Linked DNA regions of Caenorhabditis elegans. The protein of the gene in region 1 interacts with the protein of each later gene in a pairwise test. Each region holds a gene or a part of one and is shown on either strand. Other genes may lie near its edges.

Evidence for each region.
Region 2: the proteins of edg-1 (region 1) and D2007.2 interact in a two-hybrid assay, tested with the Caenorhabditis elegans proteins (one large-scale study listed by BioGRID).
Region 3: the proteins of edg-1 (region 1) and deps-1 interact in a two-hybrid assay, tested with the Caenorhabditis elegans proteins (one large-scale study listed by BioGRID).

Annotation. Positions count from the first base shown.
Region 1 is NC_003282.8:11,316,439-11,325,968, forward strand, and holds edg-1 (Protein edg-1), read left to right. Parts: upstream 1-4,361; 5' UTR 4,362-4,367; coding exon 4,368-4,451; intron 4,452-4,501; coding exon 4,502-4,614; intron 4,615-4,663; coding exon 4,664-4,934; intron 4,935-4,978; coding exon 4,979-6,244; intron 6,245-6,350; coding exon 6,351-6,534; intron 6,535-6,593; coding exon 6,594-6,815; intron 6,816-6,858; coding exon 6,859-6,902; 3' UTR 6,903-7,198; downstream 7,199-9,530. Other genes in the region: gspd-1 (Glucose-6-phosphate 1-dehydrogenase), read left to right, coding at 983-1,108, 1,162-1,368, 1,785-1,860, 1,905-2,157, 2,216-2,517, 2,579-2,716, 2,769-2,970, 3,022-3,198 and 1 more; B0035.18 (Mitochondrial cytochrome c oxidase subunit VIc/VIIs domain-containing protein), read left to right, coding at 3,882-4,030, 4,082-4,205; his-47 (Histone H2A), read right to left, coding at 7,618-8,001; his-48 (putative histone H2B 4), read left to right, coding at 8,307-8,678. UniProt on the Caenorhabditis elegans protein: Plays a role in regulating deps-1 cluster formation in the germline.
Region 2 is NC_003281.10:8,144,835-8,156,875, forward strand, and holds D2007.2 (Major sperm protein), read left to right. Parts: upstream 1-4,139; coding exon 4,140-4,271; intron 4,272-7,606; coding exon 7,607-7,748; intron 7,749-7,964; coding exon 7,965-8,028; intron 8,029-8,649; coding exon 8,650-8,777; intron 8,778-8,885; coding exon 8,886-8,983; intron 8,984-9,493; coding exon 9,494-9,676; downstream 9,677-12,041. Other genes in the region: mrpl-18 (Large ribosomal subunit protein uL18m), read left to right, coding at 184-311, 360-594, 872-1,021; D2007.1 (uncharacterized protein), read left to right, coding at 10,639-10,780, 10,829-10,938, 11,025-11,108; atg-13 (Autophagy-related protein 13 homolog), read right to left, coding at 11,242-11,316, 11,400-11,537, 11,582-11,739, 11,783-11,993.
Region 3 is NC_003279.8:502,856-511,764, forward strand, and holds deps-1 (P-granule-associated protein deps-1), read left to right. Parts: upstream 1-3,617; 5' UTR 3,618-3,621; coding exon 3,622-3,732; intron 3,733-3,783; coding exon 3,784-3,890; intron 3,891-3,946; coding exon 3,947-4,161; intron 4,162-4,209; coding exon 4,210-4,370; intron 4,371-4,421; coding exon 4,422-4,553; intron 4,554-4,598; coding exon 4,599-4,850; intron 4,851-4,899; coding exon 4,900-5,040; intron 5,041-5,088; coding exon 5,089-5,193; intron 5,194-5,242; coding exon 5,243-5,476; intron 5,477-5,526; coding exon 5,527-5,636; intron 5,637-5,682; coding exon 5,683-5,902; intron 5,903-5,949; coding exon 5,950-6,021; 3' UTR 6,022-6,116; downstream 6,117-8,909. Other genes in the region: Y65B4BL.4 (Dolichyl-phosphate-mannose--protein mannosyltransferase), read right to left, coding at 207-357, 1,202-1,277, 1,370-1,423, 1,468-1,599, 2,651-2,750, 2,805-2,916, 2,965-3,194, 3,238-3,357; Y65B4BL.7 (uncharacterized protein), read right to left, coding at 6,117-6,359, 6,407-6,568, 6,893-7,033, 7,884-8,080, 8,140-8,149; acs-13 (Long-chain-fatty-acid--CoA ligase), read right to left, coding at 8,623-8,898. UniProt on the Caenorhabditis elegans protein: Component of P-granules which is required for P-granule formation and integrity in adult germ cells. Promotes the accumulation of glh-1 mRNA and localization of pgl-1 to P-granules. Involved in RNA-mediated gene silencing (RNAi) in the germline.

The DNA.
Region 1 (9,530 bases):
ATTTATGGTTGAAAATGCATAGTTATTTAGGAGTTGCAAAGAACAGTTTTCATTCTTCTTTTTCTTTGTCTTCTTGTTAATTTGGTAAACTGATCAGACGTTAATCAAATTGATAAACTTTCAAGTTCAGTGATTTTTGATTTGTTTTCTGAAAACGAAATTAGTTTTTTCTCTGATAGACTAAGTCTTCGAAGAATTCATCTTCCAGATAAAATCCAAAAAAAATGTGTTCCAGAATATCCTAGTCGGTCAACTAAAAGTCAAGAACCATAGATTAAATCTAGAGTTACAAAGTTTCGTCTCTTCTCCAGAGTCAAGTTACTCGAGTTTTTATGTTTCCTAGAGAAATACATTGTTTCTTTTCATTGTCGATCAATGTCGCCCAGAGAACATTATTTGTCATGGTTACCACTCGCACACACTACACAATTTCATTCAGTCATCATTTTTTGTGACCCGAGAAGATTTCAGTAAATATTTTCATGTTTGTAAAGAGACTGGCGCATCCACTTTTCTCTTACTGTTTCTTTCTTCTCTCGCTGCCCTGTGAAAAAAATGGAAGTGGAGTAAAAAGTGACCGATTTATAGTGTTGTTCCAGTTGTTCCAATTCATTTATATTGTAGACTGCGGTTCGCTACTAGGTATATGATTCGAAAGGAAAAATTACATTTTTTAGTGCTAGAAATTAACATTATTCCATTAAATGTAACTAGCTGAAAGTAAGCAGTTTATTACTCTGCCAGTAAAAAAGAATTGCGCAGAATCATTATGAAGTACATCAATATATCAATTAACGTATTTCTTTTTGATTTTTCGTTGTATAAATGAAACAATAATCTCACTTTTAAATAACATTTATGTGTATCTAGATGGTTTACTTTGAAACTTGTAGTTTCTACTATTTACCTCTCAACACGAGTAATTTTTGTGAATCAATGTTCGTCATTCTCACTTCAAAATCTAGTTTATAAATTTACAGAAATGGCATGCAAACGTCATTCAGTGTCCGATCCCATTTCGAAGGATCTCGTCGAGTGTCTTCGTGAATCAATGCAAAGAGATCTCAAATTTGAGACTCCGTACGTTTTCGTGATATTTGGAGCATCGGTATGACATCTATTCCATATATATCGATTATTAATTATTTAACATTTTTTCAGGGAGATCTCGCAAAAAAGAAAATATACCCAACACTGTGGTGGTTGTTCCGTGACAACCTTTTGCCAGTCAACATCAAATTTATTGGATATGCCCGTTCCGATCTGACAGTTTTCAAGCTTCGTGAATCTTTTGAGAAAAACTGTAAAGTTCGAGAAAATGAGAAATGTGCTTTTGATGACTTCATCAAGAAGTGCTCATACGTTCAGGTAAATCTACATCTGCTAATAAATAGGCGTGAAACTTTGTTCCAAAAATACAGTGCTCGGTCTCGACACCACAAATTTGTGTTAAATGCGAAAACGTATCACCTTTAAACAGTACTGTAGCTTCAAGCTTTTGTCGATTTCAGATTTTAAAAAAATTGTTTTAAAACTGAAAAAAAATAATTGCAACACATACATTTTTTTTACAAATCAGGTAGGAAAACTACGAAAACCAACAAAAACTTGAAACTACAGTACTCTTTAAAGGCGCGCACTTTTTTGCATTCAACAAAAATTGTGGGGTCGAGACCGGTTACCGTATTTTTCGCACAAAATCTTGTTACTGGGTAATAAAAATTTGAATCGAAGCTTTTTTCTAGAAACTTTGAACATAAAAAGCACCATTGACATTTTTTCAGGGCCAATACGACACTTCTGAAGGATTCCAACGCCTTCAATCTTCAATTGATGATTTCCAAAAAGAAAGCAATAATCGTAGGTTTAGAATTAAATTTCACTCAATCTAAGCAAATTTATAGAAGCCGTCAATCGTCTCTACTACCTCGCTCTTCCTCCATCAGTTTTCAACGTGGTTTCTACGGAATTAAAGAAGAATTGTATGGATCATGGTGATTCATGGACACGTGTTATCATAGAAAAACCATTTGGACATGATTTGAAATCATCTTGTGAACTTTCAACTCATTTGGCGAAACTTTTTAAAGAAGATCAAATCTACCGTATTGATCATTATCTCGGAAAAGAAATGGTTCAGAATTTGATGGTTATGCGGTAAGAATGTTTTTTCAAAGTATTTGAAGAGATTTATAATTTTATTTTGAACTTTCAGATTTGGAAACCGAATTCTCGCTCCATCTTGGAACCGCGATCACATTGCATCAGTTATGATCTCATTTAAAGAAGATTTTGGAACTGGTGGCCGTGCTGGATATTTTGATACAGCTGGAATTATCCGTGATGTTATGCAGAATCATTTGATGCAAATTCTAACTTTAGTCGCCATGGAGAAACCAGCAAGTTTGAATGCTGAAGATATTCGTGATGAAAAGGTCAAAGTGTTGAAAGCTGCTAAAGTTGTAGAATTAAAGGATGTAGTAGTTGGACAATACATTGCCAGTCCTGAATTTGATCGTGAGTTTTTCAAAAATTACAATTTTATAAAAGTTTTGATTTTTAAATACATTAATTTTAGACCCAGAAGCATCACAAGGATACAAAGATGACAAATCAGTTCCAGCCGATTCGACTACTCCAACGTATGCTCTTGCTGTTGTTCACATCAATAATGAACGTTGGGAGGGTGTTCCATTCTTCTTGCGTTGTGGAAAAGGTAGGGAATATACAAAAAAAAACCGAATTTTTAAATTTCAATATTATTGCAGCTCTCAACGAGAAGAAAGCAGAAGTTCGTATACAATTCAAAGAAGTCAGTGGAGATATCTATCCGTCTGGTGAATTAAAGCGATCCGAATTAGTGATGAGAGTGCAACCAAATGAGGCAGTTTACATGAAACTGATGACCAAGAAACCTGGAATGGGATTCGGTGTTGAAGAAACTGAACTTGATTTGACTTATAATAATAGGTTAGTTTTTGAAATTTCTCTTCAAAAAAAATTTCATTGTGATAATTTCAGATTCAAAGAAGTCCGTCTTCCTGATGCTTATGAACGCCTATTTCTCGAAGTATTCATGGGATCTCAAATTAATTTCGTTCGAACTGATGAGCTTGAATACGCTTGGCGTATTTTGACGCCAGTTCTCGAAGAGCTTAAAAAGAAGAAAGTTCAACCGGTTCAATATAAATTTGGAAGGTTGGTTGTGTTTCTTTTTTTTTAAAATTAAATACAGTAATCCAATTTTTCAGTCGTGGTCCAACTGAAGGTGACGAATTGATGAAAAAGTACGGTTTCATCTTCACTGGAACATACAAATGGGTTGCTCCAAAGCTATAAATGATACCAGATCTTCCTCTATTCATTCTCTTTCAAATGTTTGTAGAAATAACTTCAAAAATTCAGCAGCTACTAGTTCATATGTTTTCCTGTGTTCCACATCAATATTATTCCTGCTCTTTTTTCATTTGTTAATGTTCTATTGAATGAATGAAAATAAATACGTTTTCAGTTAAAAGAAGTGTAGAACGATAAGATAAGCCAGTAAAAAGGCTTATTTTAAATAATCTGTATTCAAAAAATAATCATTTTTTCGACAAGCCGGTTACGGTGCGCCAGTCCGCAAACACTCTGCATACACTCTACTTCTACAGTAGTGGACGTGCGACGCGTGTTGCGTCGCGCATCATCATATTGTTCAATTCTTGTTCAAGTTCAATCATATTTTCTTCGGATTTCTATCATTTTCCATCGGATTTCCCATCATTTTTGCACAAATGTTTTAAAGTATCAATATCTTTGATTTAAAAAAAAACGTCTTTCTTGTTTTACGTCTTTTTCTTGCTAGCTGCACATCGTATTACTCATTCTTTTTTTCAGCCATGGTTGCTGCTTCCGCTACCCGGAACATGCTCCAATCATATGGAAAACGTGGAATTTACGTTTCACTTGCTGTCGCTGTCGTCTCGACTGCCGCATTCAACGCATTTTACGTTTGGCCACGTCACAACAAATATGAAGAGTTTTTCGCGTCAGTGTGATCCTCGCACAAGTGTCTCCCGGGCAACGAGCAAACTTGCAGAAACTACGATTCGTACACTCGAATGAAAGAGATTTGTTCTGCTAACAAGGGGTACATGCATACTTGTCCAAAGGAATTGGCGAAATTGTACGAAGAGAAAGGGAAAGTTGTTGCCGAGCACTAAATGTTTGATAAATTATTCATAATAATACAAGTCAATAAAGTCTATCATTTCTTTATTCAGTTATTTGTTTTATTCTTGATCAGTACTTTGTGGTTTGTACCACATTCATATATTTTTATCTAAAATTTTCTATCCACGAAAAACCTCCCTTTATAGATAAAAATGGTCGAGAATAAGAGTTCGTACGAACTGCCTGATCAAAAAACTCTTGATATGAACAAAGAATGGGTGCAGGAGCTGGAGGATGTGAGTTTCCAATTGTTTAGCTTATAAATATATTTTATTTTTTATTTCAGATTTTCTACAGCTACAAGAAGTACGATGTGAACAAGGTCAGAGTTCAGCAGTTTTTGGACAGAAGATCCGATTTCCTCGTCTATGACTTTTACACCTCTAACCTGTCAATGGAGTATGTGAACAATGTCACCTTTAATAACCTCATTTATACAAATTTTCAGTGCGATGCAGTATTTCCAAGCAGGTGTAACTCAAAAGGACGTCGGACTGAGCAAAGACTACATCCTGCTCATGCGTAAACTGTACAGTATGCTCACGGAGCCGAGCAAGCAGTTTTTCCAGGAGCAATTCGTTAAGGAATGGCAATATCACGAAATTGATTATACGCCATATTTCGAAACACTCGTTCCCCGATTCAGGGAGAAAATTGCGAGATTATTGGATGAAATTGTCAAAAATCCTGAAGAGGTCGACGACGATGTTCAGGAAGAGGTTGGATTTATAATTTTGAAACAAAGTTCATATTGATATTTCAGTTGCGCTGGCACCTGCTCTTCTCACCAGTCACCACTCTTCTGGACATTTTCACTCGATGCCTCAAGAACTTCGAAATCACTGGATTTTGTTTAAATGTGTGCCTAAAAGTGCCACAATTGTTCTTCGATCGTCCGCTGAAAATATATCACACTGAATACGAAACCGATCGCGTTGAATCACTCATGGCTCTGGTTTTCCGCAGATTGATTTTCAATAAGCGCTGGGTGGATACAAGTGACGAAGAGTGGAGCAATTTGGAACAACTCGCAAGGGTGATATGCTCAGGACAGGAACCCTCGTTGATGTCTGCATGGCCACTTCTGGAAGTGGTGCTTTGCGAACTCTACACTCAGAACAGAACTCCCATGATATCAGTGGAAGTTTTGAGCGAAATTGCTGTGAAAATTGTTGAAAACTTCGATAATTTGAAGTATGCCACGTCGGCGAGAACTAAACCAGCTGAGAATGTTCTTTTGACTCCTTCGATTATTTGTTTCTTGCTCAACATTATTGTTGACGAGAACGTATCGAATACAGTCATTGAAAACTGTAAAATGATTCTCAAGGCGATTGGTCAAAACATGGAGCAACCGTTCGATGCTGAAGCGAAGAGCTACTTAACTTCTAAGGTTTTGAAAGAATTTCCGTGGACCTTAGAATTCGCAATCTCAACGTGGTTCAAGGCTCTGGAAGTTGAGAAGCGACGCATTCCATCAGCAGTCTACAAAGCAATCAATGCAGAAATGAAGGAGACATTCGACGAAAGAACTTTCGATATCGAGGAAAGCGAAACTGTTGATCAATCGATCAATGAAGAAGACGAAGAACGTTGTTCGACTCTATCATCTGAATCTTCAGTGAAAACTGCGATATCTATTGACCATAAATCGGACACCGCTGTTGATAATCTGGAGATGAATCAACTGCATCTGAGCCCAAAGCCCAAGGCTTCTGTAGAGGCAGTGAAAAGCTGTAAGCCCGCTTTTGTCGCAGTGATATTCGAGGAAATTCCACCCGAAACTGATCAAAACATCTCAGTTTTTGAAGATCCAACAATTGAAGTTCTCACGGAATACCTCGATTGTATCATCACAATGGGAGTGTTCGACATCTCGTGCGCCGACGAACTCATGCGTCACAGTTCAGTCACGTTCGAATCCTCAGAACAACTGGAAAAAGTAATGAAGACGGCGTTTGAGGAGAATTTCGAGATCGCAAACGCTGGTCCACAGCGTATCAAAGAGATCTCTGGGAAGATTTTGGAGGTAATGTTTTGTCATTGTCACTAGGAAAGATTTTAATTTGAAAAATACACTGAAAATGAATGGAATGCTTTTTCGTCGTGTCTTTTCTGATTTTCTAACTTTACAGGTTTTCGGCTCAACCTCGTCGGAATCGGACCACGACCGTATCGCTTCATCGATCATAGAGCTCATTCCAACAGAAGAATATGAAAAGACTGGGCCAAGATGGAGTCATGATATAAAGAAATCGGAAATCATTCAGCCTCTGGTTATCCCAGTCGAAGCAACGTTGGAAAGCTGGCCACCAGCTGGTAAGAAAATATAATTCAAAAGTAATTATTATTTCATTAATAATTCTGATTTCTTGCAGAGTACCGTTACGTTGCTCCTGGTATCAAGGAATCTCGTGACTCTGCACGACATGAACGCCTACTACGCCAGCAACTTGCAACAACCAAATCTTTGGAAATGGCTCAACTTCATCGCGATTTGTGGGCGGAAAACGAGAAAAATATGGAGCATTGGACACGCCCAGCGTCCCCTTGCAATAGTTCATTTTTCGCTGAATCTAGCGTGAAGCCAACAACATCAAGTATGGATTTTAATGCTGATTTTTTCAATTATAATTATTGCAGGCGCATATGGCAACTCTTCGAATTTCTCTCGTTATGCAGACTGATCGTCTCTGAAACTTTCTTATAATGTTCCTTGTGTTCCTTTTGTTACTTTGTTGTTAATTTTTCGTTCTTGTTTTTTGTTGTAAAATGCTTTATGCAGGTTTTTACCTGACACTGATTTTGAGCCCACCAAGTCTTCGTGATGGAACTTCTACCCATTTCAAAGACTTCGGGATTAATTGTTTTCCCTCTGAATTTTTTATAATTTTTCCCGATTTATTCTACCTCACCGTGAACATTTTAACCCCTTAATTATCCCATGAGACCGCTCATTTTTATAAAATCGGTAGGACGCGAATTTCTTTGTTTATTATGGCATTGTGATATAGTGGGGGATGGGGTGGTATGCAGGGCTTAGCTCATGGTTTTCCTTAGTTTTCTGACCGATCGTCAAATATAGGTGAAAACTTAATAACAATATTGCATTCAGGGCTCGAATTTCAAGCAGACCGCTTATAAATGCAATACAAAATTTATTAAAATGGGATTGAAAAATTGTAATTATCGTAATTCTAGAATTTCCTCATACGTTTTCTGACAGAACATGGAAGGTAGAAAACTTTATAACAATATTGCATTCAAGCAAACAACTTATTAAAAATAAATGTAATATGAACTTTATTAAAAAATTTATTAATGGGAAAAAGTAGGATTTTGTATATTTGTGGCCCTAAAGAGGCCGTTGGGTTCGGTGGGTTTGTTTAAAGAAGAAAGTTCTTACTCCTTATCTCCTCCAGTCTTCTTTGGGAGAAGAACGGCTTGGATGTTTGGAAGAACTCCTCCTTGGGCGATGGTCACTCCGGCCAAAAGCTTGTTGAGCTCCTCGTCGTTGCGGACAGCGAGTTGAAGATGTCTTGGGGCGATACGGGTCTTCTTGTTGTCACGGGCAGCGTTACCGGCCAACTCGAGAACCTCAGCAGCGAGATATTCAAGAACAGCGGCCAAGTAGACTGGGGCTCCGGCTCCAACACGTTGAGCATAGTTTCCTTTGCGAAGAATACGGTGAAGACGACCGACTGGGAATTGAAGTCCAGCTCTTGATGAGCGTGACTTGGCCTTTCCTCCGGTCTTGGCTTTGCCTCCCTTTCCACGTCCAGACATGATGAGCGATTGGTGTTCGTAAGACGAATCTGAAGAATGAATCGAAACTGTCTGTTTATATTCATTTCTACGGTGGAGGGGCGGAGTTTCATGCGGGGACACCTCTATTTGAACATTCCGCACTCTCTGGTAGGACACATTTCTCTCACTTCTCTTTGTCCCCCTATTAACCTCGGTACATTCGGAATTTTGTGTGCACTCAGTAATGTGTCCCCGCGGGAAGCTCCGCCCCTCCACCGCAGTTTTTACATAAATAGGTGTCTCTCCAACCATTTCCTCATACTTGATTCAAGTTCATTCTCATCATGCCACCAAAGCCATCTGCCAAGGGAGCCAAGAAGGCCGCCAAGACCGTCGTTGCCAAGCCAAAGGACGGAAAGAAGAGACGTCATGCCCGCAAGGAATCGTACTCCGTCTACATCTACCGTGTTCTCAAGCAAGTTCACCCAGACACCGGAGTCTCCTCCAAGGCCATGTCTATCATGAACTCCTTCGTCAATGATGTATTCGAACGCATCGCTTCGGAAGCTTCCCGTCTTGCTCATTACAACAAACGCTCAACGATCTCATCCCGCGAAATTCAAACCGCTGTCCGTTTGATTCTCCCAGGAGAACTTGCCAAGCACGCCGTGTCTGAGGGAACCAAGGCCGTCACCAAGTACACTTCCAGCAAGTAAGCCATTAGGCTGAAAACTACCCCACCGAACCCAACGGCCCTCTTTAGGGCCACAAATCTTATAATCCTATGTTATTAACCAAGTGAATAAATAATTTTCAATTATACTCTTTCATAATTTTCAGGTTTTGCATTTTCCAAGTTCAGTTAATTTGAGATTAACCCAGTATTCATTTTCTAAAAGTCATTCTTTCAGAGAGAGAAATTCAAAGCATCTTCGGAATTCTATCTTTCAAATTGTAGATGGGATTCTTCGAATATTTCCAAAAACTTGTATTTCCGTAGTTTATGAAGTTGCACAGAGAAAGGGAAGCTAATGGCCGAGGCTTATAAAAACTTTCGGTTTTCAATCTTGTTGGAAAAATCTCGGGTCATCTCACAAAATTGGTTGAAAAATGTTATGAAAAACTATTACTACATCAAATTACAAGAAGTTTGAAAAAACGCTATGAAATAATTACTTGATTTCCGATATCAGGCGAGATATATGATTCAGGCACTGGTTTTCAGGCTTCAAGCTTTCTTCCGCTTCATGTTCTTGGATATCTAAATCATTTCGATCACCAACTTGAATTATAAAGTGAATTCATATGGTTCGGGAAACAAAACTGTGCAGACTTTCATATACCCTTTTGTAAATAAAATTGAGAACGAACGAAGAAAATCGAATACCGAATGTCTACTTGCATGCAATTCTAATTTTAAATTTAAAAAAAGTATGTAGTTGTGCAAAGCAATAAAGAAAATATCATGTCAACTTGTATTTGAAAATGCTAAAATAGAAAAATCAAAATTATTTAAGATTTATTTAACGAGATCAATTAGGATTTTGGATATTTGTGGCCCTAAAGAG
Region 2 (12,041 bases), on another chromosome or scaffold:
AGTTAAAAAAAAAACACTTTTTTTGTTTTAAAACAAATTTCTTGACTAAAAATATTGATTTACCGTCTTTTTTCATTTGAGTTTTATATTTAAGTTATCGATCCATTATCTAACAAAGTGTTGTTTTATCCTTGTTTTTTATTCATTAAACCAATATATCAATATGCTCTATTATTTAACAGAATGGCTGCTCGATTTGCCAGAGGGTTTGTGAATCGAAATCCACGGAACAATGAACTTATGGGAAGACAAGCGCCGAACACAGGTTATCAATTTGAAAAGGACCGTGCTGCTCGAAGTTACATTTATAAGTAAGTTTTCTGTTCTAAAATAAAAAATTTTATGTAATTTGTTTGCAGAGTAGAGCTTGTGGAAGGAAAATCCCATCGTGAAGGCCGCCTTGTACATTATCAAGATGGAGTTGTAATCAGTGCTTCAACAAAAGAACCTTCAATTGCCAGTCAGCTATACAGTAAAACTGATACATCTGCTGCATTGAATATTGGACGAGTTTTGGCCCTTCGTTGTCTTCAATCTGGAATTCACTTTGCTATGCCTGGAGCAACTAAAGAAGCTATCGAGAAGAGCCAACATGTTAGTGTTTCAAATAATCAATTTTATAATACGGATACTGAGGTCCTGATAAATTTAAAATTAACTTCTCTATTGGTTTTTGTCGAAAATAACTTTAAAAACTTGAAATGTTTCGAAAAACGAATAGTGACAGATTTTAGGTTGTTATTAAAAGCTAATTTGTCTACCTTATTACTCGAATTAATTTTCAAAAATCCGTAACTTTCTATGAAAAGATGTGTACCAGGAAGCAAAAATTATTTTTTGCTGTTTGCATTCAACAACAATTATTTTTCAGCAAACACACTTCTTCAAAGCTCTGGAAGAGGAAGGTCTCACACTAAAAGAACCGGCCCACGTGGAACATTCCTATGAGACAGACAAAACATTCACATGGAAGAGGTACCCACAGAAGCCAACACGTCAGGATAAACTCGACGAGCTATAATTATCCTGCACTTCTAAAAAACGTTTTTATTGTAGAAATAGTTTATGACCTTCAATTGTTTTGTTCTCTCCCTTGTTCTTGTTTCGTCTCTTTCAACTTTTATTAGAGTGAAAAAAAAAACTTTTCTCTGACTTTGAACAATTTAGAACTCTATTCACAATCACCCCCTTGAGCGTCGTAAGTACTAGAAGTTTTTTGCCTTTTTGTTTTAACTTCGAGATTTTTTAATCCCGCCTTCTCAAGCTTCGGACTGCAAACGGACATACATCAAACATTCTTCGATGCATCGTTTTGGTGAAATGACGAATGATGTGATGAAAGGAGGCCACCACCACCACCACCAATTCCCCGCACCCTCCTTGTAATATTCATGGGTGCTCGGCGAGCAGAGACGAAAATGGATGGACGAGATATCAGGGGATTCGATCTGACAACACCCCCGGTTTTCTCCCATTTGGGTTCTTTTGAGCACCTTTTTTTGAGTTTAGAAAATCTTTATTTTTAGAGTTTTTGAGCGTACTTTTTTAACTCCTTAGAGGCATTGAAACAAATGTAGTTCTGACTATCTGGTGTTGTATGTAGAGCTCCATGTTTTATGCATATGGATTTAAATTTCAGGACTTAAATTTTCGACGTCACCAAAATTGAAGTTGGTGACATTCCTGAAAAGCTCCGCCCATTTTTTCCAACATACTTCGCTTTTTTTTTGAAAATATAGAAGCGTTCAGAATTCGTAGAAAATATTGGAATACAAGGAATAATAAAAGTGAATTTTTTGTTTCGAGAGCAGCGTTCTTTTTTGAACTTTCTCAAATGTCCCGATGATTCATAGATAAATAACGTTTTTTATTTCATCTTTCACTCAAAATAAATGACACTTAAAGTTAAAAAAATTATACTTTTTTTTTTGAATTTTCTTGGTATTTGGATTTTTGCACTTTATATTTCTACTGCTTAAATGTTCCAAAAACGACCAAATATCGTTGTAAAACTCAAACAGATTTTTTATTTACACACAAATTTATTTACATTCAAAAAGTCGAATATCACAAGTTCACAATTTTGGAAGTTGACCAAATATATTTTTACATGAGTTTTCTATTTTAATTATGTTTTAACTGTTTGCATTTAAACATTTTAGGGTTAAAAGTTGCAATGCTTGAAATTTCTCAGAAAGTCTACTTTTTCAAAAAATTTAGTACTTTACCGAAAACTTTGTCTGAGCTTTTTTATCTAAAATTTTTACAATGTTCATTTATTATATTTGTACAACATCCCCTAGGATTAAGCTCCTTCAATTAAAAAAAAACCTATTAAAAATTAATTGAATTAATAAGTGAGCATACTAGCATAGATACCTTTTCAGATTATTCTACGATTTTTCAATTGTGAAGAATTTATTTATAGTTTGCTGTAAAATGTACCAAATAATAAATTAATATTTATATCTTGCGATTTCTCGTAAAAAGTCATAAATTTGCATGATATTGGAAACCTTTACTGACACAATGATTAATGTAAACTCTTTCGTATTTTTCTTTTGCAAACTTTCTTTCTTTCACCAAGTTTCCCAAATGGATAATCCAAAATTGTTTGTCCAAAAGTCAGAAAGCAAAACAAATTTGTTCAGAAATCTCATCCTTTCTCTCTAACTTGATTATTTTATTTCCCACTGACTTCTATACTAGTGTCCCGATTTACGATTTCTAAACTAACAATAGAATCGAGTAATATATAGTTTCCGATAGAGATTGAATTTTTTAATTAGCTTTGCCAATTCTCTATTGATAAAATTAATTTCTCATCAGAAATACCATCCTTTGGTTATATGAACTTTAAGTTGTTTCATTTTCAGCTTTAAAATTGATAAAACAGTCTGAAATTAATTTCAGATTTTGAAATTATCATCTTTCTGAAAAATCATACCAAAACAATTATATAGATTTCTTGCAAGTCAGAAATTTTCGAATATTGCATCTAGAATAAGTGAAAAATGTTTATAAACTAGTAAATTATAAAATTGAAATAAAAACTGTAAATGCCACATCTCAATACTCAAAAGCCTTTCTACTTTCAAATTCTGCTATACTCCATACCTATCTATCCCTTCCTACTCATTCCATTGACCATTTGACCACTACTTCAAGTCTTTCAAAATCTGATATCTCAGCTCGTTCTTCTCCAAATAACGGACTTCTTGACCACTTTGAAAATCTCAAATTCTCGAAATTTGCTCTCTTTCCCTTCACTGAATCTTCACAAAAAGCACGACTTTTCTCTCGTTTATTTCTCTCTTCTTCATTTGTATTTCTTCCTTGAATTCATGAATAATAACTAAACATGATATGAAATTTATTTTTATTCATTATATTCAATCATTCTTTGGACACAGTGTGAATTAACTTCCTTGTTTAATTATTGTTTTTCAATTTTTTCTTTAGTCTTGGAGACCTGAAAAGATTTAAATAAAACCCTTTTTAAATAAACTATAGTTTATTTTATAGGGACACTAGTCGCTCATAGAAAGTTTAATATTTTTGATTTTTTTTCGAAGGTTGTTTGAAACTTTGAATCTCCAAATAATTTCAAACTAAAAATATCGTTCAATAAGTTGCAATCCCTGATGCATGAAGCGTGCAATTATTTTATGAACCACCAAAGTTCGCATATCCGACACGTGTCTACACTTTATAATAATTTTGTTATTTTTCCGGGAATACCTTCAAATGTGTGTTCATGTTCAACTAAAAATATAAGTGAATTCATGTGAAAACTAGTTGACTTCCGCTGTACCAAAATAAATATAACCATAAAACATCACGATTTGTTTTTTAAGAAGGTATTAATGGTGTCTATTATGTATTAGATTCAAACTTTTGACAGTCATGTTCTAGATTGCTTAAAATTATTTTCGGTTTTGGTAGAATTGTTATGTATTTAAAAATTTGATGAAGTTGTTTTTTCAGTACCTTTGATAGTATACATCAGATAGTATACGATATAGTATACATCGATTTGTAGCAACTCTTTCATCTACATACATAATTACAATTGCCTCTTTTCTCTATCGTTGCACTTTGATCCAAAAAATCCCCATAAAAATTAATGTTCAGGATCAATGGCTGAACACGTGGCTCTTGAAGACATAACAAATTGTCCAATTCATAATATTGATGAAGATAATAATGTTTTTTCAACTACTACAACCCGTCCATCTCGTACCGAACATCGACTCAGAATGCTTGCAAAGGTAAGTCTTGGAGGTTGCAAAAATTAACCATTCCTCTACTTTTTATGAGTGGGCCAGGGATAAAATTTGTTTTTTATACAACTTTTCTAAGTTGCACAATAAATCAACCTGTAAGAAACTACTGCTATATCTGTTTTTTTTTCAAATAGTTTTTAAATGTGCCTATATACATACAATCTCCCTAGATTTCTGAATCCTTTTCCTTCACAAAAAAGAGGAAGGAAAAAGAAATGGAGTTGAAGGAACTCAATTCGATTAACAACGCCAATTATACACCAAAACTCTGTCTTTTAATATTTCTTACTGGAAATTGAAGTGGTTTATTAGATTTTTGAAATTCCGAATCCTGATTCTCATACTTAAAACCGTATTTTTCCCAAGTCTTCTACCCCATTGCTGTACTTTGACAGTTCATCCCTTGGTGGATCTTTGATTTGCCAAAAAAAATAAATAAATTGATTATATATAAGAACCGTCATTTGTAGATTTTTTTTATTAATTGACAGTCACTTCCAGCAGAAAGAGCCGACAAGTTCATGGACTTAACGTTAAGTTAACAAATGGCTGTGTTTTCTTTTTTACCGATCTGTAATTAAATAGAAAAAAGACACATTGATGTGATTGGAAAACAAAATCTTTTACTTCCAACTATTTTTTCAATGTTTTCCACCAGATTTCATTTTACATCCAAAATATTTATATCATTTAACTCAAAGCGATTTTGAACTCCTCTGCTCTAGCTTCTTTCATTTTGAAAAAATGTTATATCTATGAGTATCAGTGGTATAAAAATAAGAGAAGAAAGACGAGAAGCTCACTCTTTAGCTCATTGGCTTTCAAGTGATAAAGCTGGCCACAAACGATGTGAACCCTCTTTTTCATTTTTTCTTCCCATGGGAATCCGCCACATTCACGTGACATCAACCATTTCCTCATTTTACTTTAAAACTTTCTGGACTTGAAATTTAAAATTTAAAATTGAATCTAATTTGTTAACTTTTCACCATGTTTCCCCTGTCTGGTAACAGAAAAAGTAGACCTTTCAATGATAATTTGGAGTTTTTATATAATTTACTGAAGTTGTTATAACCAAAATCTAAAATTTTCTGACTCCAAAGTTCTCCAAGTCAAAAGACAGTTAGGACGTCAAAAGACTCCAAGTTTTTGAATTAATCTAATCCAAATCACATATTCTATAGCTGCACTTTATTCAATATATTTCCCGTTTGATAGCTTTAAATAAAATGTGCACTTTTGTAATTAAAATTGAATAAAATGAGTCATAACTTGTCTGATCTTTTCTTCTTCATTTTCTTTTCATTCCTCCTCCCACACTCGCATTTTAAATTCCCTTGTCACTGGGAGCGGGGGGCACCGCGAATTTTCAAAACTTTTTTGAAGGGACACTGGTTTTCATTTTTTGGGTTTCGGTTTTGAAAAAGTTGATCTTTGTTTTTTTTTGTAATTTTTTCCAGTTTGCAATTGTTCTGGTTTTGGAAAATTAGTTTTAGTTGCAAGTTTTGCAAAACTTCCGGATTGCTCCAAAGTTGCAAAAATAAGTTTTTACTGTTTCCATAGTTTCTAGACAGTTGAGAATCTGAAAATCAAGATTTCAAATTATAAACCGTGAATTTTATTCGTGGTACAACTTTTTGACCTTCGTATAGAAACAACTTCACAGCTTCGATCTTCATGAGTATTTCAAAAATGCAATTAAGACAACCTGAATATAATAAAAAGCATGAAAATATCTTCTAAACTTTCTATAAACTTCATGCCACCCCCACATTGGTTGACCCAACAATCCCGTCCACACACATCTACACATACATACACAACAATCTTCTATCCTTTGTGGTCGTGCCCTAGTCACCGCCGTCATTTTTCGAGCCGCTGAGCAATTATATTATGTCTATTATGAATGTACTGCTGCTCTTCTCTCGCTTTTTTCTACTCATTCGGACCTTTCTCTCTCTCTCAACTAGAAATGATGATGATGTTCGATGAGCACAAAACTTTCTTTTTTGGGCTCTTTTTGGAGCACTTTCGGTGACTCTCACAAAGGTGTAAACACTGGAAGACTTGAATTTTTTTAGTTTGAGAAAAAATTTGAAGATATTAAAAATTAAGATAGGTCTAATTAGACAAAATTTTTTGTTTCGGAATTTCTGACCAACTTACTTTTTTTGGCCAATAAAGAGATATATTCCTTATGCAGTTTCAAAAACTGATAACTTTAAAATAAGAACCGAGAAATCTAATACCCTAAATATACCTTTAATGAATTTTTAATTTTTGGAAATCATTTTTATTTTAAAAATAAACTTTAGGTATCAACTGTTAATTTATCAATTTACCGGGTATCTAAATAGTACAAATTCAATTCCTCTTATTGAAGTTTTCCGTTGTTTCAAAACTCATTTTCTGGTTCTTCATTTTTGAGAAATGCCATTATTTTTTTGCAAATGTCAAACATCTATTTTCATAAAGACCAAACCAATTTCATCTTACATTTTCGTACTTTAATTGTACCCTTCACCTCCCTCGCTCATTCTTTTTTCTTTGTTCGTTCCCAAAACGCCTTCATTTTTTTACCGACTGCTGCTGCTCCCAGCAATTTCCGGAGTGAACATTCGGAGCACTTTCTCTCCTTTTTTAATGTGCTGCTCCTTTTTCTTGTATAAGTGAGCTTGAAGTCTTCCGTTGCCATGAAATATTGTTCTAACACACTTTTTTTTTGGTTAAAACATGCTATAGCTTGAGTTTGAACATTGGAACCGAAAAATTTCACATCTTAAAAAAGTTACAGTGTCTCTTTTTCGTTTGAGCTCTATATCTCGGACAGCTTCATTTTTTGGAAGTGACATTGTTCTGTAGTACAAATTCGGATAATCACCGTACCTGATAATCTTGCTCCAGAGGCAAAACCATGGTAGATGGGAAAACTCTTTTGTCTTTAGACATTCCACTCGATTGGGGTTCTACAGGGCGCTTTTAAACTGTATGGAGACTTCACTAACCTTTATCTCTCTAAAATGTTCAGATATTCTTCACAAATTTTATTAAGAAGGGAAAATTAAGGAAATATGACAGGCTTTCTTATAAAAGTTGCATGTTGATTCTTGTAAGAATCGGTCAACGTTTAAAAATAGAGAAGTGTAAAAACTCCATTAAAACGCCATTCAACATATACATCTCCCATGGATACATCATTGACCTCTTCTTTCCGACCTCCCGTTTCAAAATGTGACGTTTCCATAGAAGTGTCATCTGCAGAACAACCCCAACCAACTCCTTTCAATCTTTTTCTTCTTCAATATTTCATTTTATTTCAGAACTTCAAAGACATCCGCTCATCATCAATGGCTTCTTCAAGTTCAGCTGCTCTTCGTCCTTTTGGGACGGCTCGATTGACACCTGGAAGACAAACTGGAAGACAGACACAACAACAGATTAGTGCTCCAGAACCAATGATAGGTAAGCATTTTTCGAGGCTTAATTTGATACAATTCACAAAGTGCCGGGCTCGCCCAGAATATAAAAAGCTGACTCAAATTTTCAACAAGCTTATCTCACCAAAAAGTCACTTTTCGAGGAGAACAACTTCAGAAAGTTTTCGAAAAGAGTTGCCTCGATTATTTCCCCACTGGTTCAACTCTACCTTTTACAATATTATTAATATTGGATTTTCAGCTATTGCTCTCTCGGATATGGAGTACCTAATGCGGTCGGCTAGATCAAGCAGAAGCTCAGGAAGGTAAGATTTCACACTTAATTTTTTTCAAGAGTTACTTCAAATCTTGAAATAAATGAAAAAACAAAACAGATTTTTTAAAGTTCTCACAATTGGATAATCTTCAAAATTTCTTCCTCAACGAATTCAAAAATGTAGACCACAAACATTAAATTCTCATCATAAAAACGTATTTTTTTCTCCAATTATATACTATTATTACCTTAGAATTTTTCAAACATCCAACATTTTCTCCGGAAAAGACCAGAGCTCGGCGAGCAATTTTCATGTTTTAAATTGTCGCTACAAACTGAATTGAGAGACGAGAGGCCTCTTATTCCGTTTTTATACGAAAAAAGGAAACTATTTCTTCTATTTTGTTCCTGAATTCTAAAAACAATTTCTGATGAATATCTATAATGTGAGACCAGCTTGTCGGATTCCAAGTTTTTCAGTTGACAGGCCACGTTCTGTACTTGACAGTTTTAGGTATGATTATCATTGTTTACTAAGAAACATAAGAAAAATACAACATGAAATGGAATAGTAGTTTAGCTTAGTTTTGAAAATAAACTGGAAAATACATGAAAAATAACATACAATACAATATGTAGAAAAACAGCAAAATAAATCTATAACTTTCAGATCAGAACGCCAGCCAGGATGCACATGCTGCTGCCACATTGCTGCTGGGGTTACTGTAATTCCACGTGTCGCCCGTTTTTCAATCGAAGGAGGACTCTCAACACACACCCTTATGAATCATTCTGATAGTGAGTTTTTTTGAGCTATGGTTTTGAGTAACTCGATTTAGGTTGTAATTTCAAATGAGCAAGCAAAAATTGGGAAAAAATGTCAAAAAACTAATACAAATATTTCAGATCGGATAGCAGTAAAAATCACATGCAGTGACAACAATATGTACAGAGTGACACCTGTATATGCAACTGTTGAGCCTGGACAAAGTCTTCCACTTCATGTAAGTTTTAACACAAAATTTCAATTTTTGAACATTTTTATTTCAATCCCGATTGAACTAAGGTTTTAGGTTTTCAGGTTTCAGGTTTTAGATTAAAAATTTCTAAACTTTTGGAAAATTAGAAGCTAGATAAATTAGCTTAAATTTAAAATATGGATATCGGAAATATAAAAGTATTTTCTATTGTTCTCTCTGTTATTGCATTTTTGTAGCTTCCTGAAACGTTTTTTTTTACATTTTTGAAGTCTGCTTCTCTTTTAGTCGCGCATGTCTGAAAAAAAAAACAAAAAATTCCAAAATCAGTGAAAATACCAAAGTACCAAAAGAAAGTCAAATTGCCAAAATATGCCAAAAGACCACCACCAAAAAAGTCCAGGTTGCGTGGAGTTTCTAGTCGAAAGTCATCGTTTCAGAAAATAGCAAAATTGAAATCTTCAAAGCCTGTTAAATACAAAAATAGAACACGTATACCATACCCACCCCACAACCCACTTGAACATTTGATTACAGATCGCCCGAATTACCAGTGACCTAATCAAACGTGATCGTCTCTGTGTCAATATTCTCGAAGCAGATGGCAATAAGGAAGCTCGCGAAATTTTCAAAAAGAACGCGAATACACGTGCACCAGCTTCAATCAATATGGCCCTTGAGGCAACAAATGACAATCAGAATCATCATCATCAGGAGTAAAGAAACACAAATATGTACATGCAGACAAACAAAACTACCAACTTTCATTCTTTTTATGCCTTTTTTCTTATTTTCTTTGATAAAAACATAATAAAACAATATGAAATGACATCACAAAAACTGCAAAATCACAAAAAAAATGTCAGAAAATCGCAATAAAACGAACGTTTTATTTGCTCAAATGATCAAAGATATTTTCTTGTTAAACTGCATCATGAATCACTTGCCATTTGAACAAAGGATTGTCACAAAATTAGTTTCCAAATTTTTTATGTCAATTCGTCATTTTTTGAAAATTGTGTTATCTTCGAAACTAGGCCAGAATACTTGATTATTTGAACATTTGTATTGATAAAAATCGATTAGTAAGTTGAATTTTTCAGTTCTTAACTGATTCTTTCCATGAAATTTCATTTTGTTTGAAAACTCTACAGAAACGGTTTTTTGAAATTACATAATTTAAAAAAAAACTACCAACCCCTGTTTCAAGTTGAAATTTTGCTCATTTTAAAGGTTCCTATCGTCAGGACCTGATCACAGGATCCTGTCACGAGCGAAACATTTCAGCTACAGTACCCTCAAGTATTGTAGCTATTTTCTTACATAGCTTATTTTTTGAGATTTGTATAATAAATACACGAGGGCACGGTAGAGAAAAAATTTCGATCGTGCCAGGACCCAAGGTAGCGATTTGCGGTCAAACAAAAAATTAATTTTAAGAGTAATCCCTACTTATTATAAGTTATATATCTCTCGCTAAGATGATTAATATTGAAACACTGGTCTCAACACGATTTGCCTGCGTTCTAGGGGAGCTTCTAATCCTCTATCACCTGACATTAATCACTTGCTCATTCTTCTCTCGTTCTCTGTTTCTCTTTCTTCTTCGTTGAAGTCTCTGTTGAATAATTGTCAAACCCATAACACATTTTATTTTTATATTCCAAAAAAATATTTTTAGAATGAAGATCTTATCGTTGATTCTTGTAATTTTGGTGCTTGTGGTGTCAACAGAATCCGCCGCTTCCAACAATATTTTCTCATCAATCTTTTCTTTTGGCAAGAAAAAACCAACAAGTACTCCAACACCTAGTTATTCAAAAGGTTTTTTTTTAGTTCTTTGTTCAAATGATCTTTGGATTTACATTCCAGCTTCCGCTTCCACGAGCCGGTGTGGAGTACAAGCATCACAATGTTCTGCTTATGAATGTTGTAACTTTGATCAGACATGTCTTCGAAACCGCTGCTTCCCAAGACTATCGGTAAACAAGTTCAAAGATAATTAAAAACTTATTGTATACGTTTTTCAAACTGCACAGAGAAACCCATAAACTTTCAAAAGTTTCAGAACTGTCCAGTTACTCGGGACCAATGTGGAAATGCATGTTGCAAGACTTCTGAGCAATGTCGCAATGGAAAGTGTTCCCGATAATTTATATAACTATACATTTATGAATATTCAAAAAACAATATGTGCACAAAAAATTGTGAAACGAGTGTAAACGTGTGAAAAGTGTACATGCGATGTATACAATATGGGAGATTGTAAATTTTCAATAAAAAAGTCACTCATCGGAGAACGAATTGACGTGTTTCAGGAAATTGTTGAAGTTGGCAGTTTGAGAACTTATTTTTTCGAGCTGAAATTTGATTGAAATTTGAATTTGTTAATTAGTTATAGTTTTTGGTTTAAATGCCATTAGCTATTTATTTCCAAACTCACCTCTGTTTTCAAGTCCATGTTACAAATATCAATATCACCGGATTCTGTCATATCGGGAGCAGTTTTCAGCTGCTTCAGATAGTCTCCCAGCTCATTACCAAGACTTGGCGCACCACCGAAATCTGATAGCTGATTAAACTGAAATGAAATAATTAACGACTCGTTGATTAACTAAGGCTTACATGAACAAATGAATCTTCACTCAGCTCCATTGAATCAAGTGGCAACTCTTCATCTTCATCTTCTTCAAATACAACTTCGTCGATTTTAGCGGCACGGAAGCTCTCAGCAACCTTTTCTATCGTTGGCTCTTTGTCTTCTGGAGTTGATTTTGGAGAATCTAGATTTAATAATAAATATTTGAATTATTTTTATATTCTTACTGAGACAAGTAGAAGAAGAGTTTTTCTTGGTTCCATTTGCTGGATTGTATGCCGACTGTAGTAGATTCACGAATGGGAATGAATGATTTCGTAGATCTGCTAGAGATGGTTTGTGATCTTCTTCATAAGAATTTTGAACATCTGAATGTCGAGAGTCTTCACTTGATGTTGATTGTCCAAGAATAAATCTAGGAGCAGCTTCTCGGGAGGTCTTAAATTTTTTAATTCGTTTGACTTTGCATAAAATTTTTTTGAAAAC
Region 3 (8,909 bases), on another chromosome or scaffold:
CTGCTTTTTTTGCGAAATTCACGAAAAAAAAAAAGAAAATAAAAGTACATTTACCGATAAAAGTGACGATAGACCGCCGATATACATGGAGAGAATAGAGAGAGAAATGTGAAGTTTATTAGAAAACAATTTTGTAAAATTATGATGATGATGAAGATTTGCGGAATCTGGTAATCGGTTTTAATTGCCTTTTCTATTATATTATATTAATCACTTGATGATGTACGGCTTTGCGCTTCCTCGTCCACGGTCTCCAGATGACGGAATCCACGTGGCGATACTGATCGATTGTGTTTTGGAGTGGTGGTGCTGCTGGTGCTGGTGGAGGGAATTGAGGTGGTTGCAGTGGATATTACGCTGAAAAATTGAAAGGATTGGTGGAGGAAATGAGAGAAATTTGAGAGCATAAATTTTTAAAAATCGAAAAAAAATTTTTTTTTGCTATTTTTGGGCAGAAAATGGCGAAAACGGTGTTTTTTTGGGTAAAAAATAATAAAAATTTACAATTTTTTTTGACAGAAAAATGCGGAAAAGCTGTTTTTAGGGTTGAAAAATCAAAAAAAAAATTTTTTTTTGCTATTTTTGGGCAGAAAATGGCGAAAAACGGTTTTTTCAAGTTTAAAACATCAAAACAATTTTTTTGCAATTTTTTTACAGAAAAATGAGGATAAGCGGTTTTAAAGGTTTAAAAAATTTTTTAAAATTTTTTTTGCGAATGGAAATTTTCTGAAAAATCGTGCAAATGCCTAATTTGTGCAAAAATCTTATCTGGTCAATGATTTTTAAGAGAAAACACCGGTTTTAGAAGGGAAAAAGGCAAAAAACTGGATTTCCAGTGAATTTTATACTAAAAATGGAAAAAATTCAGAAATTTTTTAAGGAAAAATCAGAATTTTCGCAATTTCTACACGAAATATATAGAAATTGAGGAGAACCTCGGATTTTTTGCGGAGTTTAAACAATAATTTTTCGGCTAAAATTAACGATTTTCAGAGAAAAAACTTAAAAAAAACAGAATTTCAGTGAATTTTACACGAAAAACGTAGCAAAAAGAGGTTTTTAGGGAATTTCCAAGTCAAATTTCCGAAATTCTTGCGATTTCAACCCTGAAAAATAGCGAAATTGAGGAAAATCTCGGATTTTTGCAGATAAATAATATTTTTTCCAATGATTTCCGTCTCCAAAACACAGAATAATTTACCAATTCGACGATGGTGAGGAGGGAGAGCCCAGCTCGTTGGTGACAGCCGTGAGATCCGAGAACAAATTGACGCTGGCTGAAAAAATGGAATAAACGCTAAATTGATGATTTCCGCTATTAAAGTGCATATAGAAATACGAAAAAGCAAAAAAAAAAATTTTTTTTAACCTTTTCCCTGGAATCGAAGAGCAGTTTGCTTGCGGATTGGACGTCGAAAAGGGCCTAAAATTCTCATTTTTCGGCCTGAAATTCCTCGAAAAACCCACTATTATTGGTAGTCGGAGATGGCTGATCGCCTCGTCGCTGGTAATATAGCACGCCTAGCCAGAATCCGTAGAGAAAATAAATATAGACTGCCCACACTAGGATGATGGGAAGAAACGACAATCGGCAGGCGTCTGGAGTGAAGAAATCAAGATTTTTCAGATTAAAAATTAAAAATCTTTAAAGGTGGACTACACCCTTGTTGGGAAATGGCTTTCAAACATGCCTATGGTACCACAATGACCAAATATCATGATTAAAAAATTCAAAAAATTTTTCTAGATTTTATATGATTTTTTGAAAATCGAAAAAATCTCAGTTTTTGCCTAATTCCTATTTGAATTACCGCCAATTGGATTTGTTCGATGGAGCGCGCTTGCACGTTTTTAAATTTATTTATTTTATTTATTGTTATTTTCCACCGATTTTCAATGTTTTCGGTGTATTTTTGCTTGAATTTTAGAGAAAAAGTTAAAATAAATGCAAATTTCCGATTAAAAAATCACTGAAAATGCGTAAAACTGAAAAATATGCTAGTTTCAGGTTTGTTGTCGTCGGAACTCATTATTTTACAGTTTTACGTATTTTTCACATTTTTAAACACTTTTTAGCAAACATTCTGCATTAATCTTGCTTTTTTACTTCTCTTTCCGATAAAAATACACAACTAATGAAGAAAATCAGTGACATAATAATAATAATAATAATAATAATAATAATAATAATTTATTACGCTCGCTGGGAGACGTGAAGGAATACAGAATACAAAAGTTATCATTGTTCGCTTGAACTAGAATTGGTGCAGTCGGGCAATCGTTTCCATTCCATTAAAATGTTGTCCTTGTCCTTGCGTTGTCCTTGCGTAGACTCCCCCATAGTGGGCGAGCGATTCCCGAGTGAAAATAATCACGGAATGAAAAAATAGAAGAAAAATAGAATAAATTAATAAAAAAAATAATGCAAGCGCGCTCCAACGAACGAGTTCAATTGGCGGTAATTCAAATAGGAATTAGGCAAAAACTTTTTCAGATTTTTTCAATTTTCAAAAAATCATATAAAATTTATAAATTTTTTTTGAAGTTTTTTAACGTGATATTTGGTCATTGTGGTACCATAGGCGTGTTTTAAAGCAATTTCCCCACAGGGTGTAGTCCACATTTAAAAATTAAAAATTAAAAATTCTACCTAACAAAATCGAAAATTTCAGATTCTCCTTGATTAAAAGCTTTATTATTGAGTAAAGAGTCCGCAGCGTCCACACGGAGAGCGGGTACAAGATGGAAATCTGAAAATATTTAGGATTTTCAAGGGAAAATATCGATTTTTTTTAGCAAAATACCACAGAAATTGCGGATGGAATGAGTAGAAGAGCCGGGTTGACTTTCCGGGGAAAGTTTCGACGTGTGATGCTCGTCTCGGAGAGCCTCATTCCCAAGAATCCGGTTGCGATGCTGAAGAAAATCGATGGAAAAAGTCTAAAATATCCCCTGAAACCCTACCTAAAAATCAGAAAATACGAGAAAATATTGATTAAATTCCGAGCCGGCACATAATTCGGGCGGATCAGCACTCCATTGAAGTTTCGAAACGTTTCGCCGTTCCACTGAAGTCCATCGAAGCCGGGAACGGATGGCGGCTCGAAATGCTCGTCGACACTCATTTGACTGGCCCTGTAGAGCCCGATGATGGCAATGGCGAGCATTCCCACTTCCACATGGAATATCAGGCTCTGAAAATTAAAATTTAGCTTTTAGACGGAAAAAATCGATTACTTTGACATGAACTTGATCGAAAAGCCAGCGATACGGGTATTTTCGGTGCAGGCGGCCTGATTCCGGACGTGCTCCTCGAGATATATTGGAATTTGTCGAGCGGATACTAATATCTGCCATTTTTTCGCTGAAAAATCAGAAAAAATAAGTTTTAAAACAGAATTTTAATGGAAAAATAAACGGAAAAATTCGAAACTTTTTTTTCCGCCATTGAACACCAATGTGCCTTTAAGGTACGGTAGCTCTTCGTGGTGAGACCACTGCGCCGCGCATCTGATTTCTCGTGGGAAATTTGTTTCGAATCCTACGTTTTTTACAGATTTTTCTTTTTTTTCGTTTCGCTCATCATTTTTTTGTTGCAAAAAATCCAATTTTCAGACAAAAATGTCAGAACGCCAATCCAAATATTTTGACTATCAAGGTATCGTCATTTCCTCCACTGGACAAGATAACCAAGATTCGGAGACGGACCTCGTTTATCTCATTCAAGCTCATGTACGTGAATTCCCTCCGTTTTCATATTTAAAATAATAAGCTCGTTTTCAGGGAAAAGCGGCCCCGAAGAACATCATGTACGGTGTCTCCAAGTGCGCATTTGTTCCAACAAACTTGGAGAGGAATTTCGATAATATCGAAGAGGCAAAAAATCTTGAGTCAGTATTTATTTGATTTGAGCCCATTTTTAATCTGTTAACACTTGAATTTTTAGACGTCGATCCAAAATCCCGCTAAAGTTCGGTGAAGTCATCCTATGGAACGAATCGGACTGTGATCACGATAAGAGGATAATCCTTCATATCAAACGAGAAAAACCAATTTATGAAGCGTCTTCCAGCAGAAATGGACTTATTTTGAAAGTCGGTGGCGTCATCCAGCCCACCTCAACGACCTCGTTCTGGACGCCATTATGCACCGTCACCATGCGTATGTTTCTTCTTGATTTTCGTCTCTCTAACCATATATTTATTTCAGCAGAGACAGAGGCGACCCGTGCGGAGCCAGACGTTTGGCTATACGCCTGGATTCGATTCGAAACTACCATGAAGAGTGGTCTAGATCCTTTCAATATGACTGCAACATTCGAATCGTTTGACAGTTGCGATCCATCCGACCAAGCACGCGTCTGTGAAGCGGTATTTGCTTTTTAAAAATTTTTTACGGGATTTTGAACAAATAACTTTCAGCCATGGAACGCAGGCTCTCCTGACTCTAAATTCGGTGTTTGGCGCCCGGATCCAAAGCCTGCTGATAGCGACGACGAAATTGATATCGAGCCGAGAGAAGGCTGGCACTTGCCAGAAGACAAATGGGCCGAGGTTAAGGTTGCTTTGTGGATTCTCGTTGACAATTTGATTTTGCAGGTCATCAAGATGCAGCTTGGCCTGTATGTCGGCGAACGCCTACTGATTTGCAAAGAACTCTCGCAGTTCGACTTTATTATCCCACTGCAGAAGCCATTTTCCCGAGGAACGGACAAGACTTTGATCTACCCAGCCGTCGGAGAATACTTTCATTTCAGTGCTATTTGGTCGATGCAGCACAACGGTTTTCTGATCTATGAGCTTCAGCCAGTTCCACTTCTCAGACAGCATGTAACCTCTGTCAACGGAAATGTAAGTTATAATATTGATTTTTTTGTCCAGAACATAATTTTTATTTCAGCTCCTTACCCGCGTCGTTCCTGCCAGTATCAGAGGTCTCTTCGTTGACAAGGAGGGCACTCTTGGATTGATTGATGACCCACACCATCTTCTTTCATTCTTCGAGTTTCATCCAGCTGGTTATGAATTCTTGAAGGCTATGGTAATCATGAGTGGGTCTTATTTTGAAACAAACGCTTTCAATTTTCAGGCCGAAGTTCGTGCTGTTCGAACTTCAGAAAACAAATCTGTCCGTTACCGCATTGTTCGTACATCGGGAATGTCCATTTTTGAAAACTGGCTTCGTGATACTCAGGTCTCTAAAGTTAAATTAAACTCGTCCTTTTCACCCCTGAATTTTTCAGTTCGTTGTTGGTCCAGTCAAAGGAATTCGAATCAATGAAGACACTGTCATTTGTGCCAAACATCCGAATGTCTACTTCAAAATCCCCAATAACTTGAAGGAAGGAATCCCCATTGGCGGAGGAGTTCAATTCGTTGGAAAGCGACAAGCTGGAGTCGACAGTGAAATTATGATCACCGAATGTTCTCCATGTCCAGCGTTCACTTGTAAAAATTACTCGGTCTCTGGTGATACGGTTAGTCTTCAATTATTTAATAGTTTTTATTCTATGAGGAAAATATTCAGCGCTTGTTCCAAGTGTACTTGAAGCCAAATTGCGATCATGAGCAGTTGGCGGAGAGTGATTCGATGGGATTTGTGGATTTCAGAGAGTTGGAGACTCCATGTAGAGGAAAGTGAGTGTGTCAGGATTTGTAAAAATAATTGTAACTGAATTTTAAGGTTCCTGGCATGGGTCCGTGAATCCATTACTGTCAATGATTGTCGCCGTGCTGCTACCATCATGGAAGTATGCTCGACAGCCATCTGTCCTCCGTTGATTGCAATGAGCGCGAATTCGAGCAGAGCAACATCGGCCAGAACTACGCCAGCTGGAAGTTCCATTGGATCCAGATCATCAATTCAATCAAGAGCATCTGCAGCTACTTCAGTGAGCTCAAACGTAAGTTTATTTTTAAGGTTGGAAGATGATAAAAACAAGTTTTTCAGCGATTCGTTGGCCCTTCAAGCCGCAGAACTCCATCTGGTACTCCACAAAGCTCAACATCTTCCAGGGTCTAATTAAATATATACGCATCCCGTTTTCCCCCGTATTTGTGTTTCAAATGTTCTGCTCATTTTTAATCTACCCGTTATCCAACCAAACATTTATTTATTTAAACTTCAAGTTCCACCACCATCCCATTCCGCACAACTTGTCTCTCGTAATTTTCTCGTGCTCTAATGAAGTTGTGGTAGGTTATTCTAGTGAATACACCCATGTTAAGCAGCGAATACATCCAGAAAAGTCCCAACAAGCCGGCAGCGAGATACTCCCCCCAAAATGATGGTTGATCGGTACATCCAAGATAGGGTAGCATCGCGATAGACGTGAGCAAGTTCGTTATGCACTTGAAAAACTGAAATTTCAGAAAAGATTAGGTGTATCAGAAGGTTAAAAACAAACAAATGACATATAGATGAACGAAGCCAGTGATGGAATCGGATTCCGAATACGAGAAGCCATTCCCGGAGATACTGTGATAAGAATCTGTGTGATCGAGAACACAATGAGCACACCCACCGGGAACATGAATTCCATGGAAACACGGAGGCAAAGGTCACAGTACTGCAAAAAATGCGAAATTTTGGCGATTTTTGCTCTAAAAAATGCACTGGCCGGGTCTCACCACGACAAATTTTTGTTGTCAGTTGAATGCCAATAGAGTGTGCGCCTTTAAGGAGTACTGTAGTTTCAAACTTTTGTTGCAATCGATTTTACAGTTTTCCCGAGAAACAAAAGTTTGAAACTACAGTACTCCTTAAAGGCGCACACACTCTTTCCGCATTCAACTTAACAAAAGGTTGTCGTGTCGAGACCCGGCCACTGCATTTTTGTAGCAAAAAAAATTTGAAATTTTCAAGTCTGGATAATAATATATAATATTTTTACCTCAACTATGGGAATTTGCATTTCCAAACTATCCAAACAATCGCTGAACCCGAAAGCATCACAAATAATCGATCGATATTGTCGCGGAATGTCACGTATCGATTGGTAGATCATGAATATGTTGCCAAGTAACGCGAAAATCTTGAAAAATGGAGGATTTTGCTTTTAAAAAATCCAAAAAAAAAAACTTAAATTCGACAATTTCCTGTTTGAATTCCCTCCAAAATGAGAACTGCAGGACCCATCAGCGATTTGAGTGGGCGGAGTCCGAGGGCGCTGATTGGTCGTGCAGTTCTAATTTTGGAGGGAATTCAGCCAAATTTGAAAAATCTCGTTTTTTTTGCAATTCTTTTGTGGTATTTTCGACATGGGGTTCTTTCTGGCTTTCCTCATCAAGGGTGTCAATGTCCCGTAAAAATTTCGAAAACGGGACAACGGGACGTCCCGTTTTTTTGAAAACACTCAAAAAACGGGACAAACTGGGCGGTTAAAAAAAAGAGTGCATAGTTGGCGTAAATTTTAGTGTATTCGAGGCAAATTATAAAAAAAACTGCATGTAAGTCATTAATCTGCATGAATTTAAGTCTTGAAACAAAACTCAAAAACAGAACTTTAAAATGTGCAACAAAATCATGAGAGAAATTGTCCCGTTCCCGTGATAATTTTGAAAACGGGACAGCGGGACGTCCCGTTCCCGTGAAAACACTCAAAAAACGGGACAACGGGACAAACGGGACACGGGACTTGACACCCTTGTTCCTCATTAAAATTTTCGCGCTCCATTGATAATCGCCCTGGGAAAGTCGTGTACTCCACACGGACAAATCACATTTAGTTTTACAACTAAAATCGAGAAAATTGGGAGAGTTTTTGCCGCGAACCTGGCCTAGTTCGCGGCAAAAACTCTTCCATTTCAAAATATGGGCGAAGCCAGAAATCCGTGATATTTTCAGCATATTTTTTTGATTCGAAGCAAATCTCAGTTTCTCACCACAACGAACAACTTCACATTCGGATGCCGCCCGTCTTCGAAACGTGGAATTCCAACTGAATTCACCGATTCGACACTTGAACCGGGTGACATCATCATATTTTCAACCAGCTCATACTCGAACTCCGGAATATCCGGCACCACATCAATCGGTGCTGGTTCTGGCGGTGGCGGCTCAACTGACACTTTTCCTTGATCTAAAATTTGTTTTTTTCTGAAAATTTGTCACTGTACCAAATCAAAAAAAAAACCTTACCAGAACTCATAATTTTTGGATTTTAATTTGTAAATTGCAAAACAGAAAATGAATTGGAATTTTTTCACTTTTTATTTATGGGAGGGGGAAATTCTTTGTTGTTGCAATAAAGTAAAACAATCACAGTAAATGCCAGTACAATAGTTTTTCACGTGTAATATATTAACCAATTACTATATTCAATAACTCTGTCGTCTAAATACATAGGGTAGGGGGGAAGGTGAGGGAAAATGGAAATAATAAAGTGAAATGTTTTGTGTACTTGCGATAAAACAATCAATAAATGGGAACAAGCCGATGATAAACTGATAAACCGAACGTGAATATCGAGAGAGGGAGGAAGAAAGCGTATACCCGTTAATGAAATCAAGTTAATGGAATTATTTGGATTGAAACAAAACAACGAAAATATCAATGTTTGAGCATAAGGAATGAGGGAATGGCACTGGTGGTGGTGGATAAATGAATCGGGGGGAACGGAATCTATGGAAGTTTCGAATACATCGCATCGAGTTGCTTCGAGTAGTGAGCCTTCAGCTTCGGACGCTTGCTCTTCAACGTTGGCGTGAGAAGATCATTCTCGACGCTGAATTGCTCGGCGGAGAGACTGATATCGCGCACTTGCTCGAACGAGAAGAGCCCGGCTTTCTTGCCAACAGCGACCATGTCATCGAGGATCGCCTTTTTGACGGCGTCGTTGTTGCACAGCTCTTCGAATGTTCCCTTGATTCCTTGGTCGGCCATCGCTGGGACGAGAACCTAGAAAAATT